Linked DNA regions of Saccharomyces cerevisiae S288C. Changing the gene in region 1 together with any one later gene gives a genetic interaction. Each region holds a gene or a part of one and is shown on either strand. Other genes may lie near its edges. The genes, in order: RPN4, SLX8, UME6 and CHO2.

The links.
Region 2: mutations in RPN4 (region 1) and SLX8 together harm fitness more than expected from each alone (negative genetic interaction), as found in Saccharomyces cerevisiae (5 studies listed by BioGRID, with this or other methods).
Region 3: mutations in RPN4 (region 1) and UME6 together harm fitness more than expected from each alone (negative genetic interaction), as found in Saccharomyces cerevisiae (6 studies listed by BioGRID, with this or other methods).
Region 4: mutations in RPN4 (region 1) and CHO2 impair growth when combined (synthetic growth defect), as found in Saccharomyces cerevisiae (5 studies listed by BioGRID, with this or other methods).

The regions. Positions count from the first base shown.
Region 1 is NC_001136.10:414,546-418,255, forward strand, and holds RPN4 (stress-regulated transcription factor RPN4), read right to left. Parts: upstream 2,164-3,710; coding exon 568-2,163; downstream 1-567. Other genes in the region: phosphoglycerate mutase family protein GPM2, read left to right, coding at 1-343; oxysterol-binding protein related protein OSH2, read right to left, coding at 3,118-3,710. UniProt on the Saccharomyces cerevisiae protein: Acts as a transcriptional activator of a number of genes encoding proteasomal subunits. Binds to a PACE (proteasome-associated control element) DNA sequence 5'-GGTGGCAAA-3'.
Region 2 is NC_001137.3:394,781-397,786, reverse strand, and holds SLX8 (SUMO-targeted ubiquitin ligase complex subunit SLX8), read left to right. Parts: upstream 1-1,614; coding exon 1,615-2,439; downstream 2,440-3,006. Other genes in the region: 60S ribosomal protein uL14 RPL23B, read right to left, coding at 134-505, 977-1,018; SPR6 (Spr6p), read left to right, coding at 2,920-3,006. UniProt on the Saccharomyces cerevisiae protein: Component of the SUMO-targeted ubiquitin ligase (STUbL) complex SLX5/SLX8 that mediates ubiquitination and subsequent desumoylation of sumoylated proteins and proteins containing SUMO-like domains for their degradation.
Region 3 is NC_001136.10:864,467-869,253, forward strand, and holds UME6 (DNA-binding transcriptional regulator UME6), read right to left. Parts: upstream 3,057-4,787; coding exon 546-3,056; downstream 1-545. Other genes in the region: EBS1 (Ebs1p), read left to right, coding at 1-242; MSS4 (1-phosphatidylinositol-4-phosphate 5-kinase), read left to right, coding at 3,758-4,787. UniProt on the Saccharomyces cerevisiae protein: Component of the RPD3C(L) histone deacetylase complex (HDAC) responsible for the deacetylation of lysine residues on the N-terminal part of the core histones (H2A, H2B, H3 and H4).
Region 4 is NC_001139.9:800,459-805,575, reverse strand, and holds CHO2 (phosphatidylethanolamine N-methyltransferase), read right to left. Parts: upstream 3,137-5,117; coding exon 527-3,136; downstream 1-526. Other genes in the region: exosome non-catalytic core subunit MTR3, read left to right, coding at 1-307; cleavage polyadenylation factor subunit PTI1, read right to left, coding at 3,753-5,030. UniProt on the Saccharomyces cerevisiae protein: Catalyzes the first step of the methylation pathway of phosphatidylcholine biosynthesis, the SAM-dependent methylation of phosphatidylethanolamine (PE) to phosphatidylmonomethylethanolamine (PMME). Preferentially converts di-C16:1 substrates.

The DNA.
Region 1 (3,710 bases):
CAATCATGACATTGTATTACCGGATTCCGAATCTCTTCGTGAAGTGGTTTATAGATTGAATCCTTTTCTACAAAATGTCATATTAAAATTAGCCAATCAATATGATGAATCTTCATGCCTGATTGTGGGCCATGGAAGTTCAGTGAGATCGCTACTGAAAATTCTGGAGGGTATATCAGATGATGACATCAAGAATGTTGATATTCCAAATGGTATCCCCTTAGTCGTTGAATTAGATAAGAATAATGGTCTTAAGTTTATCAGAAAATTCTACCTAGATCCTGAATCTGCTAAGATCAATGCTGAGAAAGTCCGTAATGAGGGTTTCATAAAAAATCCTTAAGGGGGGTAAGTATATAATATAATTGTGTATTTTCCGAAGTATAATGAAAACCAATAGAAAACTTATTATAAGTCCAATGAGGTACTTTAAAAATGTGATATTTATAAGAACATTCCTGAATGCAGATATATGATATATATTGTAAATATATATAGATGTGTATATGTATTTCCATTTTGTGTGAGGTTTTCTTCTTTTATCTCCTATATAATTTGTAACCTTAATTAACCCATGACATAACCAATATTAGCCTTTGCAAATTTTGTAACTTCTTGACGTTGTTCTAACGACAAATCTTCATGCTTCGATTTTATATGCCTTGTTAAAGCATCCAGTCTCGAAAACGTCTTCTGATAGCCCTCAGATCCAAGAATTTTTATACACTCCGAGCAACGGAAGACAATCTTCCTTTTAGCGTGAATGGTATTTTGGTGTCTCGTTAAATCATAGGACCTTGAAAATTGGGCACCACACGGTTCATTTGTAATGAGATTCATTATCTGACACGTAAATATTTCGTTATTACCGTCAGAAGATGACGTATGGGCCGATGGTGATGCAGTCGAAGGTTTCGAATTCGAATTTGTAGATGAATGTGAAGATAAGTGCTTCTTAGTATAATTAATTAGCTTCCGCCTACTAGCATTTGAGCTTACTACAGCTGATGTAGGCTTCTTTATTCTTTCTAATGTGCCGTTTTCATTACTGTTACTAACGCAACTACGGTTACTGGATGATTTTGCTGGTTTCCTTTTACCGGTAGTAGCAGTAGACGGTACGTTTGCCGAGGTTGAGGGAGATGGAAATCTTTCAAAATCAATAGTGTTTTTATTGAGGACAAAACTTTGCTTTCTTCTGTTCTTCAAGAGAGAGATATCGTAGATATCGTCTTCATCAAGATCATTATCCTCATCCTCATCCTCTATCTTCTCATGTCCCCGTTCATCTAACAGATCTTCAGATACAACACTGGAAATGCTGTCCATGTTAGAGTCAACGTAACTGTACTCATTAAATAAATGACTAGAACTCTTGGCACGACCCGTTTTTTGATCTGAGCCAAACATTGAGATTGGTGTAACATCCAATGACAGTAAAGGCTCCTCTTGGTGTTGCTCTTGTTGCAAACAATTTTCTTCTATTTCATCCTCTTCATCATCACTGATATCGTCGTCATCAGAGTCAAATTCATTGTTAAAAATAGCTCTCGCATCCTCATTGTTTATTGCGGCGCTATTATCTTGAAGTGACCACTGCATTTTCGGATTATAATTATCCTCATAGAAAAGCACTTCTTCATCATTACCATATAGATTGTCACCGTTATCGAAAAAATCGTTGGAAATTTTAACATCATAATTGAACGTATTCCGTGTCGGTACATACGGGTCTGATACTTTCATTATATTCTTTAGATTGACGGTCTTCTGCAATGGGGTTTCGCTAGCACCCTTAATCTCGTTTGGTATGAGATGGACATTATTAATCTGTCTATCGTTGGCCGTTGCTTCACTAGTCGTAAAAGAGGTGGTGGTAGTTAAAGTAGGATCCGCGTATTTGTTGAATATCGGGAAATGGTAGGTTTGTTGTGGGGGTATCGAAGCTGCACTCGATTCATTCTGGTGTTGTAATGAATGATTCCACGTAAAAGTGTTGTTTTCCTTGTTCTTATTCACCAACTTATATGGAGTAATACTAGCATTTGGATGATAGTTTTGATAATGACTCGTAAACTGACTGTGACCTGGATTAGTATGGTACAACTCGTCTTCTAAAATATCCGTTAAGGTTCTTTTTAGGCTAAGTTCCGTAGAAGCCATGATTGCTTGAAAATTCTAGAAAACTTTTGAAAAGATACAAATTAGCTATTAGTACTATCTACTATTAGTTCAACTAAAAAGCGGAGTTCTTCCTTGAGGAGAAAAGGATGAACAAAATGGAACTGATCTACTCCTTAAATATTCCACGCCAAGAAGAAAAAAGAGTTTCGGGTTTATCTTTAATTTATATTAGAGATAAAACGTATCCTCCTCCTTGAACGATAAAAAATTATCCGTGTGGGTTAGGCTGCTCATCCCGGGCTTTCCCCAAATTGGGCTTCGAACTATTCTTTCCTTATATAGAATTGCTCTCCTCAACAAGTTTCGCCGAAACGGAACTTTCTAGAACCATCACTGTAAACGGCTATTAGTAATAGCGATCACGTGATTATCCGTGGAAAGGTTCGTACGGGCTGAGGCACCTTTCTTTGAGTTCCACGGAACTTGTTATTACAGGAACAGAAAGGTAGTAAAAAAAGAAGTAACGTCCTCTCAGTGCATATAGTTTGATCTCTATAACAATCCGTAGTTGGTTTTCTCAACAATTAATATTGAATACGTTAGTGATGATTGGTTTTCAACCTCTGCCGCTAATTTAGGCACAGTTCTATCGCAGCCGTAATGGAGGCATTATATAGCACTTTAGCGTCGTAACGAAGGGTTATGGTAACCGCCTAACGATTTTATTTACTCGCTTGTTGCTTGCTTTGTAATTGGTTATATGGATTTCAAAATAATATGGTCATCTGACCATGGTGACATAACCAAAGTGTTCGAAAAGATAACTAAATTGATACATCTAGGAAAACTGAAGGAAATCCCTATTGTTAAGTAAACATACTATATATGCCAAAAGAAACAAATGTGCGGTAGAATAAAATACAATTCAGTACAATAAAATACATTCAAAATACATACAAGTACCAGGAAAAAAGCTCGCATAAAAAAGGCGTGTTAAAAAATGTCACCACAATCTTTCAAATCATGATCTCTTCTTTTAACCCAATATTTGCCCGTATATCTCCAATATTTAGCTTTTGTGATGGGATGAGTATCCCTGACGAACCATTGTGGGTGATATTCAAGGTTATTTTCCTCCCTTTTTCTGCGTGCTGCTCTTTGCTTTTCTTCAACTCTGAATTTCTCATCACCAGCTTCGTCATAACGCCCATCTTCCATTGCTCTTTGATCTGGTCTCAAACGTGTATCTGTGGGGGGTAACCATGGCAATAGATGTGGTTGTGGAGCATTCAGCGTGATAGCAAAAGGTGTTAAATTGAATGGCTCCTCAGGACGGTCGTTTGCCTTCCATATTAAAAACTTCGTTCCGTCATCCGTAGGCCCATTCCCTGCTGATGCAGCGGTTCTAGTTTTCTCCAACGAGAGATCGCCATCTTTTACTACTTTCTTGGCAAAAATAGCTTCATTCCAGTGTCCTCCTAGGATCCACACCTTCTGTTTTTTCTTGTTGTAGACTTCGCCTGTGATTTCATATGCTCCTGATGACCTCCATCCCCTTGCTTTGAAATACAACTTGCAATGATCAC
Region 2 (3,006 bases), on another chromosome or scaffold:
CAACCGCTTCACTGAAATATTCTCCAACAATGTATATATGCACTCTCATGTCATTGACTTGACTTGGATTGTTTATATTAATATTTTAAAAGGTTACATAATGATTTAAAAGAATTTTTCTTGGAAATTTTATTTAAACAACAACACCAGAGTTGGAAGCAACTCTTGGCCATAAGTCGGCACATTCCTTACCGACTGGACCAGTAATGGCAGAACCCTTCATTTCACCCTTAGGATTAGCGATGACACCAGCATTGTCCTCGAAGTACAAAAAGACACCGTCTCTTCTTCTCCAAGACTTAGCTTGACGGACAACAATAGCTGGCATAACCTTCTTTCTCAATTCTGGCTTACCCTTTTTAACAGTGGCCATAACCATGTCACCTAAAGAGGCGGCTGGTAATCTGTTCAATCTAGAACCAGAACCTTTGACGGCAATGATGTACAAGTTTCTGGCACCACTGTTGTCAGCACAGTTCATGATAGCACCAACTGGTAAACCTAACTATTTAAAAAAAATGTAAGTGACACATAAAAATGAGCACACAATTAATCTGTTAGTAAATCAATCCTATCTTGGCAAGAATGGAACCATCAACACAAATATATTTCTTGGACATAAATGATCTTACAACAATTGGACATTTTTGGAGTTTGTATATTCCGCATAGAACTTCCAATAGTCTTAACAAAAGTAACCTTCTCAGTAATCAGTTGGAAAGGCATCCATTTAACGCTTTAAGGCCCAGAAGTAGATTTCGCTATCTGGATGTAGGCATGGAGAAGCCATTAAGGATAAATTTGGCATCTTCCATTTTGGCTATCCACTATATTCATTGATAGACTCCCACATTTCTTGAACATTGCTTGTCTCAATTGTAACATTCAGTCTCGGGAATATACTTTTTTATTTGTTGATTGACGACATCTTGTGTGATTTAAATGGGTATTTCCACTTGTTTCGGTTTTAACATACAGAAATTCTGAATTTTGTACCTTGAGCACCGTTACCTGACATTTTTGCTGTATTATTATCGTGATTTCTCGATTATTTCGAAATAGCAATATTACTCGCTTAATCAATATTCAAAATCTATATACTTCTTGATTATAACTCTCCATCCAACTGAAAAGAAACCGTGGGCTTCCTTCCAGTAAGTCTCAGAGGCGCAAGCCGGGACAGCACCGTATTAGTTTCAGTTTCCCGCCCAAGTGAAAGGTAGTTAGCTACTGTCCCTCCCCCGTGCACAGCATGTTGGAGGGTTCCCAGCAGCTGCCGGTGGGGAAGAGAACAGTAAGCATGAGAGGAACCCTCGCTTTGCCGAGAATTGAAGGAGACGGCTCCTAATAGAAAAAAATCTTTCAAATTAAACAAAAAATGTTTGGGTTCACAAAAGTGTACGGATGTATACAACAGGGAAAGAAAGAACTGTTTTCTACATCTATTTGTATTTTAGGAAATTACAGAAGAGAAGGGATAATATGTCAGATATTAGAGCATGCGGAAGATTAGTAGGAACAACTTTCTTTCTTCGATCAACAGTACTTTTTCCCCTACTGAGTCAATATAAAGGGGCGGCCAAGTAACAAACGAGTAAATTAATTACACCTTGTATGGCAAGAAGACCTGATAACCAAAATCCAGAAGGTGAAAATCTACGAATCAAAAGGGTAAGACTAGAGTCGGTCAGGCAGAACGATGAGGAGGAAGAAAATGAAGTATCGAGAACACAAAATATCGTCACAGATAACCGCCATGACAGCCCAGAGGCCGTAGTCGAAATCATTGGAGAGCGAGCTCTTGAGAATACTTCTGAGGAAGATGGTGATGATGATTTATCTCTCTTTAGAGCACTTGAAGAAGATCCAGGTAGCGACCATAACACCAGTAACAACGATTCTGGGAATCATGACAGGGAAACAATGCATACCGAAGAGCCAGAAGCAAGTTCTGGTAACAATATCACATTAACGAATAATGTTGAAGAATTGCACACAATGGACGTTCTTTCACAAACAGCAAACACTCCGAGTGCTTCCCCGATGCTTGACGCAGCACCGCCGACAACGAAACCTGGAACAAATAGTAAGGAACAAACTGTTGATTTAACTGCAGATGCCATAGACTTAGACGCTGAAGAGCAACAAGTGTTGCAAATATCAGATGACGACTTTCAGGAGGAAACCAAAGAAGCACCCAAAGAGTATGGTGCAGCCAAGGACTATCGCTGCCCGATTTGTTTTGAACCTCCAGAGACAGCCCTCATGACGTTATGTGGGCACGTCTTTTGTTGTCCATGCTTATTTCAAATGGTTAATAGCTCAAGAACATGTAGACAGTTCGGCCATTGCGCTCTTTGTAGAAGTAAAGTGTACTTAAAGGATGTGAGGTTAATTATTCTAAGGAAAAAGCAAGTCAAGAAGAAGGTAAAAAGCTAGCTGTCAATAACCGAGTGTTCTCTTTATTAAAGTACGTTTTACAGGCATACTCAAAAGAAGATTCTATGGAGTAGCCGGGTTTTCATCAGGAGATGAGAGTTCTTTAACCCCAGCACAATCGTAAATTTTTACCTTTTTTTTTTTTGCTTCCTGCTCATTGATACTTTTTCTGATTAAACAAAGCACTCCGAGGAATTTGGACCATCTACACAAAAATGGCTATAAATGAAGGAAAAAGGACAAAAGAAAAAGAGGCACTAATCAAGGCAGAGTATGTATTTAATCCTCCCCTCAATATTAATGTGTAGTGGGTACATAAACAATTAAGGGGACCAAGCATATAACCAGAGCTAAGGTATTACAAAGAAAAGAAAAAAAAAAATTAAGGTTACCAGGTACAACATAAATAAAATTCAAGGAATTACTTTTTGTCGTGCAGCTACCATTTTACTTTGAGTTGTATTTTGTTCAAACTTGTATATGGCTGTTTCTAATATATGGCAATCGTACTCTTCCTCCAATTTACATTGGATTTATCCTCTGTATACCAATAACTGTTCACAAAAT
Region 3 (4,787 bases), 450 kb from region 1:
ATGCACAAAATTTACAATGGCAGAGCGAAGCTTACTCATTAAAGTCAATGAATTTTGCAAATCCAACGTGGCTAGGTGACCAGTACCAGACATCTGCGCCGTCGTCAGCATATGCGCAAGCGCAACGGCAAATGTTTCAACAACCTATGCAGCAAGATGTGGGGAAGTACATGCAATTTCCTTTTGACGCCCAAAGCAACACGGACAGCATGAGGGGAAACAGTCGGAATAATATGTTTTAATATTGTTCGTTTTTTATCATAGTTTTTCAAATCTTCATATGAATACTAGGTAGAAATTTGGCTTATCAGTACGAATGAATTACAGTTTGACTGATTTGTACACGAGAATTGACGTATAACTTCTTTTGAAAGTCTTTGAAATTACATGGTAGTACATACATATATATATATATATATATATGTTATATTATTGTTAATTAAATATTATTATGCGTATTTTCCTTTTCTTTATTAGTATAGTATTAATGACAGTAATAATAATAATAATAGTAACAATATCTCTTTTTTTTTTTCAGTGAGCTTTTATTTTTTTTTCATTGCTCTTCTTTTGGCCTCTTTTGTTTTTTTCTTGATTTCCTCCAGTTTCATCTGTTTTTTCTTTGGATCAGATACAAAATCTGGTTTGAACGCGTCATAGTGACAGTCCAATTTCAACCTTTCACAGTTGAAACAGTGCGGTCTTTCCTCGGTACACTTCTTTTTCCTTAATCTACAAATCCAGCAACCAGTACGGGACCTTGTACCTTGAGACGTTGAGGAAGTAGCATTATTCGATTCTTGAGAATTGTTTGCTTTTGATTTCGAAGTAGTATTATTTGGTCTTTTCTTTGATGACTGTTTCGCCTTTGATTTTGCCTTAGGCTTGACATTTTTTCCTTTAGATTTAGCGAAATCCGGCGAAGTAGCGTTAGGATAATCAGCGGTATATGCCAAGCCAGAAGAAGCCTTCAAAGATGGAGACGATGGAGCTGACGAAGTTGAGGATTCGCCAAGAGAATTATAATCGCTATTGGTTTGGCTTGCTACTCTTGCGTTTCCAACTGACCTTCTCGATTTTTTCAATGGTGGAACTTCCAGTTGCTGTTGTTGTTCTGGAGCAGAAAGGCGTCTGTCTATTCGCTTACCATTCTTATTCCAAGTAACTTGCCTTGTCCTTGACTCAAAAGTGGGATCTAAAACCTTTTTAGAGTTTAGATTTAAATGGTAAGGAGACAAGTCTTGATTTTGGTCCTGGTCTTCATCAAAAACAGCTGTAGAATTGTTGCTTTCGAAAATGGGTTGTTGTTCGGAATTATGGATACGTAACAGAATTGGTCTTAAGACACCCTTTGATGGAAAAGATGACGAATGAGGCCTACTAGCCGGCACACCGAGCGCATTTGTGTTATTCATGTCATTGACATTGGAAATGGGTTTATCATGAGTTCTATATGGGGATGATCTCATGTTTGATAGCACTGCTGCTGCTGTACCCAAGTCGTCGTCTAGTTTGGTAGATGAAGATGCAGAATTCGGACCGAGCAATAATCTTGATCTCAATCCATCCAATTTAGAATTGATGTATTTCGGTGGAGGTGGTGGGATGTATTGTTCATTTGTATGGAAGGGACTATTTCTATTGTTACGATTCGGCAAATCGCCGTAAAAAAACCCAGTAGAAGGTCTTGACGAAGTGGCAAACGGGTCTTCACCGCGATTGATATTGTTCCGTTGAGGGTTGTTGTTGTTTGTGCTTGTAAACGAAGATGCGGAAGTTGGAGGTTGAGAAGGTATTTGGTTGAACCTAAAATGCTGGAAATTGTTTCTGCTGGTAATGGAAGAGCTGGTGTTCGCATGTCGAGAGTTTGTAGGCGTATCCGTGTTTGAACTAGCATTGTTGGAGGATGATTCATTCAAAGAATAAGCCTCATCTCTGTATTTCGAATTTAGCCAGAACGATATGTTGATTTTTGATTCGTTCTCGTCCAGTTTTACATTTGGGTCTGTTATCTCTCTATCCTTGTTGAAATAGAAGTTCCTGGGCGCCACGCCCACGGCACATTGGTCATCATGCACATTATGCTGGACCTGAGAGTCGTTAGATGGACTGCCGCCGCGCTTAGTTCCGCCGCGCAAATACCCGCCAATCTCATTGTTATTAGAGGATTCTCTCGAATCTGAGCTTTGTATCGAATTATTGTCGTTGTTGTTGGTACTGTTGTTTCTGCTCAGTATCGACATAGGCGAATTGGTAGTCTTACCGTTGTTCTTGTTGGCGCTGGTAATGATGAGCGGCAAATCCGATCCTGTGCGGGAACGGATGCCCGAGCCCGTGCCCGCGCCCGAGCCTGCTGCGGTGGTACCGGGGGAAGAAACCGCTGGAGCTTGTGGTGGCGGCAAATGTATTTTTTTTTTGGCGCCGGCGACGATAGTAGTAGTGGCAGTGTTACTATTAGTGGAGGTGGAGGAGTAAGGGAAAACATCCTCGTTGGTTGCAGTATACTGCGGCTGAATAGCACCGGAAATTTGTGGGTCTGTAGCCTGTGCGACATGGCCATTGCACAATGACTTAGGATCCGAAGGTGTATTGGAAGGCGCGAGTGGGCTGGCGGCAGCATGCACAGCGTTATCGCTGTCACGGCGATCTTGAAGTGTAGTATTGGTCGTAGTAGTAGTATCGTTTTCCTTAGGATCGTCTTTGATATCTCCGCCACTTTGGACTTTCAAACTCGGCGAACCAGACGGAGTATGCACGGGAGTGTTGTTGGGCGCACATGTCGATTTCATAATAGAAAGCAAAGGGTTTTCATCGTAGGTTGTCTTGAGAGATTCGATGCTAGCACTGGAAATTGTAGGATGGCGGGAGTTAGCTCCATCACTAACTTCATCTTCTGCATGTTTTTTGCCGTCTTGGCTGCTATTCATCAGCGTGGCACGAGATGTTTTATTGTGCAAATAGTGATGATTGTTGGCGGTTGTTTCCATCGAAAGCAGAGAGGCAGCCGCATTAGATTCGTCCATGTGTTTGCTTTGAGAGCGCGCCTTGTCTAGCATCGTGAGTTAAGGTCCATGCAAATGGTTTGAGTGCGGTAGTGTCCTAGTTCCTGTGCGCTGTGCGAAGGTGGGCGCTTCTTACGATCACTGGTCTCTTGTCCTTGTCCTCTATGTTCTTTTCATTTTTCTTTTTGACGGCGGCAGTTTCCGCCTGGCATTGGTGAAAAGGCGCCTTGAAGCACGGCGGACGTGTCACCCGGACCGAAACAGAAGAGAAGTAGCGCAGTCTTGGCAATTATAGGATGCCCGAAATCCAACGTGCATTCTATTCTCGTGATTATTCTCGTGATTTCGTGTGCAACCAATGGACTTTAAAAACTGCGCTCTACTACTTGTAGCAATGCATGTTTTGGGCAAGTGGGGTTGAGTGGAGTGTCACCTCAGACGACGTGTCGCTTTTGTATATCCGTTTTTACGGACATAAGAACGTGCCGCCCATTCTGGGAAAACAAAACACAGGTTAAAAAAAAAAAGAAAGGAATGGATGGGGAATGGGACAGAGAGGAAAGATAGAGGTGGAAATAACAAAAGCGTGACAACAAAGAAGCAAATACGGAGGGACAAGCAAAGAAAAAACAAGGACAGAAACAAAAAATAGGAACAAGAAGTAGCACATTCATAAGCAAGAGAGTACGAAACCTGTTTACACCCCCCGAGACAGTTGCCCTATATCGCTTTTCCCTATCAATAGTTTCTAACTCATGTCAGTCTTGCGATCACAACCTCCTTCAGTTGTACCGCTACATCTGACAACATCCACCAGTCGCAAAACAGAACAGGAACCATCGCTATTGCACTCTGCAATAATTGAGCGACATCAAGACCGTTCGGTGCCGAATTCGAATTCGAATCCGGATTCGAACCATCGAATAAAAAAGGATCGCAATAATCACACTAGCTACCATTCTTCATCGAATTCGGAGTCAAACATGGAAAGTCCTCGCTTGTCAGATGGTGAGTCTTCCACTCCGACCTCTATTGAAGAGTTAAACCCAACAATAAATAATTCGAGGCTGGTGAAGAGAAACTACTCAATATCAATTGATCCTTTGCATGACAACAGCAATAATAATACGGATGATGATCATCCAAACACCATAACTTCTCCCCGACCAAATAGCACTAGTAACAAGGAAATGCAGAAATATAGTTTTCCCGAAGGTAAGGAGTCGAAGAAAATAACAACACCCTCGTTAAACTCGAATAATTGTTTGGATTTGGACAATTCCAGTCTTGTTCACACAGATTCGTATATACAAGACTTAAATGACGATCATATTTTACTAAACAAGCGCGTTTCGAGGCGATCTTCCAGAATATCGGCAGTAACAGCAACTTCCACGACAATTAAGCAAAGAAGAAATACTCAGGATTCAAACCTGCCCAATATTCCCTTTCACGCTTCCAAGCATTCTCAAATTCTACCTATGGATGATTCAGATGTAATAAAATTGGCCAATGGAGATACCAGCATGAAACCAAATTCTGCTACTAAAATTAGTCACTCAATGACTTCTTTGCCTCTTCACCCACTTCCACAACCTTCTCAAAAGTCAAAGCAATATCATATGATATCCAAATCAACCACTTCTTTGCCGCCAGAGAATGACCACTACTATCAACACAGTCGTGGCACCAACCATAATCACGCTGCTAATGCTGCTGCTGTTAATAATAATACTACTACTACTACCGCTGCTACGGGTCTGAAAAGATCAGAGTCTGCAACGG
Region 4 (5,117 bases), on another chromosome or scaffold:
TAATCCTCAGGACGACGATTCGCAAAGCAAAATGATGTCTTCTCAAATATCATCTCTCATACCACATTGTATCACTAGTATAACGCTAGCCTTAGCTGATGCCGGCATCGAATTAGTGGATATGGCAGGTGCCGGTGAGGCCAATGGCACTGTCGTATCATTCATCAAAAATGGAGAGGAAATTGTAGGTTTTTGGAAGGATGATGGTGACGATGAAGATCTTTTGGAATGCCTTGATCGTTGCAAGGAGCAATATAACCGTTATAGAGATTTAATGATAAGCTGTTTAATGAACCAGGAAACTTAGACACGAGATTATCCTAGTCGGAAAGAAAAGTGAAAGAGGTTAAGAAAAAATTCATGGTAAAAGAAGCGCACAAAGGCATTGTACATCAACATCATAATTTATAATGTCATTCTGCATATATGGTAGCTCCATTATATTACAACAACATAACTACTTCTATTCAAAATGTTAACTTGAATCCTAGTACTTTTTAAATATATATACTCAAAAAAAAAAAACTCAAGCAAGACTATCAAGCGTTTGTTTTATATCCCAAGCGCGATGCGAAATAACGTGAGCGTCACCATTGACTCTCCTCATATACTCAGACGAAAGTTCGACGCCAATTGAGTTCTTAATCAATTGTTTCAAGCTGTCCATCCCGAAGAACTTATTTCCTAATGGACGAAATTTACCATCCTTCAAAACGTTGACTTTCGTCAAAAACTCAGTCAAATCCTTCTCAAACAGTTCAGGTGTCGTGGTATTTAGTACCGGCAATGAAATTTCAAATGGTGTAGAAATCAATAACACCTTATGGGAGTTACCAGAATGATACCTAAATTCGTAGATACCATTTTCAAAATAAAGCAAAGACGTGTCGAATGTCACTTTACCTTGAACGTACTTTTCAGTCGCCTTTATTTCTGTTACAGATTCTTTATGTCTTAATCCATGGTTCATATATGAATCTTTAGAAGTCGCACTCCAATGACCACCTGATCCAACTCTTGTTTTTTCACGATCTGCCCTTGTATCAATGACTTTATACAAACCAATCCAATCATCTCCGTTATAAAGTTCAATGGGCATTTTCCAATTCAAAGTTACTGGAGTAGGCAAGACAAAATTGGTTTCTACCTGCTCGTTTTCAATTTTCAATTCACAGTATGGACTCAATCTTGTTGCAACGCTATCCATTGCTTCCTGAATTAAAATATTCCATTCTTTGTTATCTTGATAATTTTTGGGCAAAAGTTCTGCCCCACCATTGGAGTTCTTGCTTTCATCAACTAATGATTTGATTATAATATTTTCAATTCTATTGACAATATCTGAAACTTGTCTTAGAGGTTTCAAGCCTAGTAAAGTTTTTCCAACACCACTAACTCGTTTAGTTTTACCATATATCTTATTAACATGAGGTGTTTCAATAAACTTGACAAGAATAAAATTTGTCAATGTCCATAAAACAGCCAAGATAATATTTGTAACGGCAAAATTCGTCATCAATACAGTACCCCAAACTCCAACAACGCCTAATACCGCTTCTGGGTGATTCAAATATCTGTAGATACCTTGGGAAGTCAGCTTTCTAGTTGAGATATAGTTGCTCAAGAAAAAATCACCATAAAACCAACCAAAATCAGAGATTGCTAGTCTCGTTTCCTTATCACACCATGTTTGTAAAGCCACAAGAATTAAACCAAAAATTAATTGACTGTTGTTTATGTTGGAAAAATTACTCCAAATTTGAAGCCCTGTATGAATTATCATAAGTGTGTAGGTTAATACCAAATAATAATTGTAAATAAATTGCCATTGCTCATAGGAATAAACTTGTGTGTAACCATTCTCCAAAAACAATCTCGTGAACCATTTAGACTGAGATTGCTTGTACAATATTGTCGAGATAAATAACCATGAAACCAGTTTTGTTACAAAAACGGTAATAAAGAGGTAATTTAAATTGATAAACCTAGCATTCATGATTGTTCCTAACATAAGTGCCGCTACGGTACCAATTGTGAAATAGTCAGTAAATCTTAGCTTATTGAAGTTGTTAAAAGAAAGACCCATGTTAATTAGAGGTCTTGAATAATCGTAATTCTCTTTTGATATCAAGTCATCAATTCTGCTATTCATTTGAGAATCGGAATCAGTGCCATCACCATACGTTCTTTCAATATGAGGATTTTCGACGTATTTCAGAAACAAAAATTGAGAATAATGTCCAAATACGGACACCAGAAGAACCTTGTAGTCATTACAAATCAATGATAGGCCATAATAACCCAAATAACCAATAGAATACATTGGATGTGGAGAGATGTTGAAGACACCATCAAAAATCAATTCAGATTCTTCCAAAAAGAAGAAATCACCCCAGTACCAAGCATAATCTTTAACCACGCGATGCGCATCTAACTTGACCCAGATGTTAAATAAAATCAAAATAACACCTAGCAAAGATCTCCAGTTGAAGATTTGAACCCAGCTATATGGAATAGAAAGGTAAACGTAAATAATGTAAGTCACAAAATCTTGCATCAAGATTAAATCGACAAACTGGCGAAATATCAACCAGACGTTGATCTCTTCTGGATAGGCAAATAAATCATACTCCTTTGGCATTTTAGACCTAATCTCATATTGACAGAACTTCCTAATAAAATTCCAAAATTTTTCTGAAAAGGAATTGGAATTTGTTGAGAAATTCGAATTAGCATCTTTATTCTGTGGTATTTTGCTGAAAATCGCATGAGTTTTAGCACAATTCGTTAGTGTTTCATAATGTGACTGGTAATGCAGAACCAGTCCAATACCTAAATTATAAGCAATTCTCCAAAATAAATACTGTACCAGAAAAAAGTATTTGGTAAACTGTAAGCCAAACCTTTGGAAGACCCAATAACAAATGAAAAAATTCGATATAATAGCTAGCGCGATGCATTTTTCCAGCAGAGATTTCTTCAAAGTTGGATCGAAAAGCGAACGCACCATATCGTGGGTTACAGGTGGTTTGAAAGTTACATTACTCGAACGTGTTCTGGCTTCGACGTTGATAGTGCCCCTATCTTTTGTCACAGAACCAACCATTTCAGACAAAGTGGTTTTACAACTGGACATCTACAGATGAAGAAAAAGCTTTGTCACTAAGAAAATCACTCGAAATATTCAGGGCGGAATTTTTTTTTTCAAAATAGCCTTGATAGGTTACTTTTACCTTTCTTGTTAATGAAATCCTGGATTGTTAGGTTGAACTAACGTATAAAATTAGGGGATAAAATGAAGAAAAGAAGATAAACTAATCAAAGAGGCAAAAAAAAAGGTCCTTTGAATCAAACTCTACTATATTAGTTATATTTTGAAGATTTGGTGTGAACTCTTCACATGAGAAGGGAATAAAAGGGAACACAGTGGAAAGAATCTGTATTTTCATATGCCTACTTATAAATTCACATGTGTCGGAGATCCACGTTATCTAACATTTGAGGTTTTGCCGTTTCTGGCATCGCCGTTCATTTTCACAGTTTTGTGTGGAAAACTTCGCGAATAATGAATGCGGCATGAGAAAAGTGTGGCAATTGACTGTCTTGACCAATTTAAACCAAGGCAAAAATATATATTTAACAAGGCAAACATTTAATGTTGGAAGTTTAGTGCCGCTTTTAGTGATAAGAGGTACAGATGCAAGAACCATCTAATTAGGTGTGGTTTTCTGATACGCTATGGCTCTGATTACTTAGATTATATATTCTTTTCTAAAGTTTTCCACCATAAGTTGCTGGTCACTTGGTAAACTTTGGATCTGGGCAGGTGTCAAAGTAAGAACTTGTTTGATCATATCTTGTTGGTTTTCAGGTAGTAATTGCAGTTTCGCCATATTAATGGTGCCGCTGTCATTCGCTTTATTCGCGTTAGAGGGTCCTTCTGTAGAACTTATATTTTGTTGCTGGACCTGGCCGAGTTGATTTGCCAACACAGGCTGTCCCATGGAGGGGCCTTGAGCTGGAGGCATGAAAGGGCCCGGTGGCGCAAAACCGAACGGTTGTTGTTGCAGAGGTAAAGGGATAAATGGTGGTGTCGACATAGGCATTGGCATAGCTACGTTCAGTGGCATATTGTTAGGATTGTTGCTGACTTCATTAGAAGGTACATGCAACGGAGTGTTATTTCTAATTACGCTTACGGGGGTGTTCGAATTACTTGTGTTATTACTCGAAAGCAAAGATGGGGCCTCGCCAACTTGGGATTTCAACACTTTAGTCACCACGCTGTAGTCTATAAATCCCATTTCTAGTAGGGCTTGGGTCACTGATATTGTGATATCACTGTTAGTATCTAAGAAAGATTCTAATTGCGATTTTTGGATGTTTTCTTGGTTTGATAATATTTTCAAATTTGATATAATTTCAATAAGTTGCAACGGCGGAATTTTACTTAAATTTTGTGAAATTTTGTCTGGTGCAATAATCGAGCCATCTTGGAAACTTGGCAAGTGTTTAGATGCTTTACTTAGTATGTCGGGGAATTGAATGTTTGTGTTATTTGATACAGAGTTTGTGTTATTTGCAGCCTGTGGTGGCGGTGGTCGCCTAGGAATGGGGACTTCTGTCACCATTTCGAAAGGTAGCTCCAAACCCGCCTCGAAGGGGTACGAATCTCTATTAAGTTGTAATACCTGCTTTTGAGAATTTTTATTTGCTGTTTCTCTAAGATGGTCCTTATAATTTGGTGGGATTATTTGCTCTATCTTTACGGGAAAGTTTTCAATTCTATTTAAAATTTCCCAAGCGCGTTTACAATCTTTACTAGTCAAATAATCGAACAGTACACCGGTTAGTTTACCAGTTCTCGGGTCATTCTTAGCTTTTATATCTATAACTGGACCAGAACCGGCCACGACCGAAGTAATTATATCTTGGTTCCATTCTGGAGGTAAGTTTGTGATTTGTAATGTAGAGGATAAATTCTCCGGTGTCAAGAAATGACGGCCTGTTCTTCTTCTGGGATCTGTCATCAATTTTTTTCCTTCGTTCTTCGTTCTTCGTCTTCTCCAGTTGTGAGTTTTCTAAATATACCTATATATAAAATAATAAAATCTAAT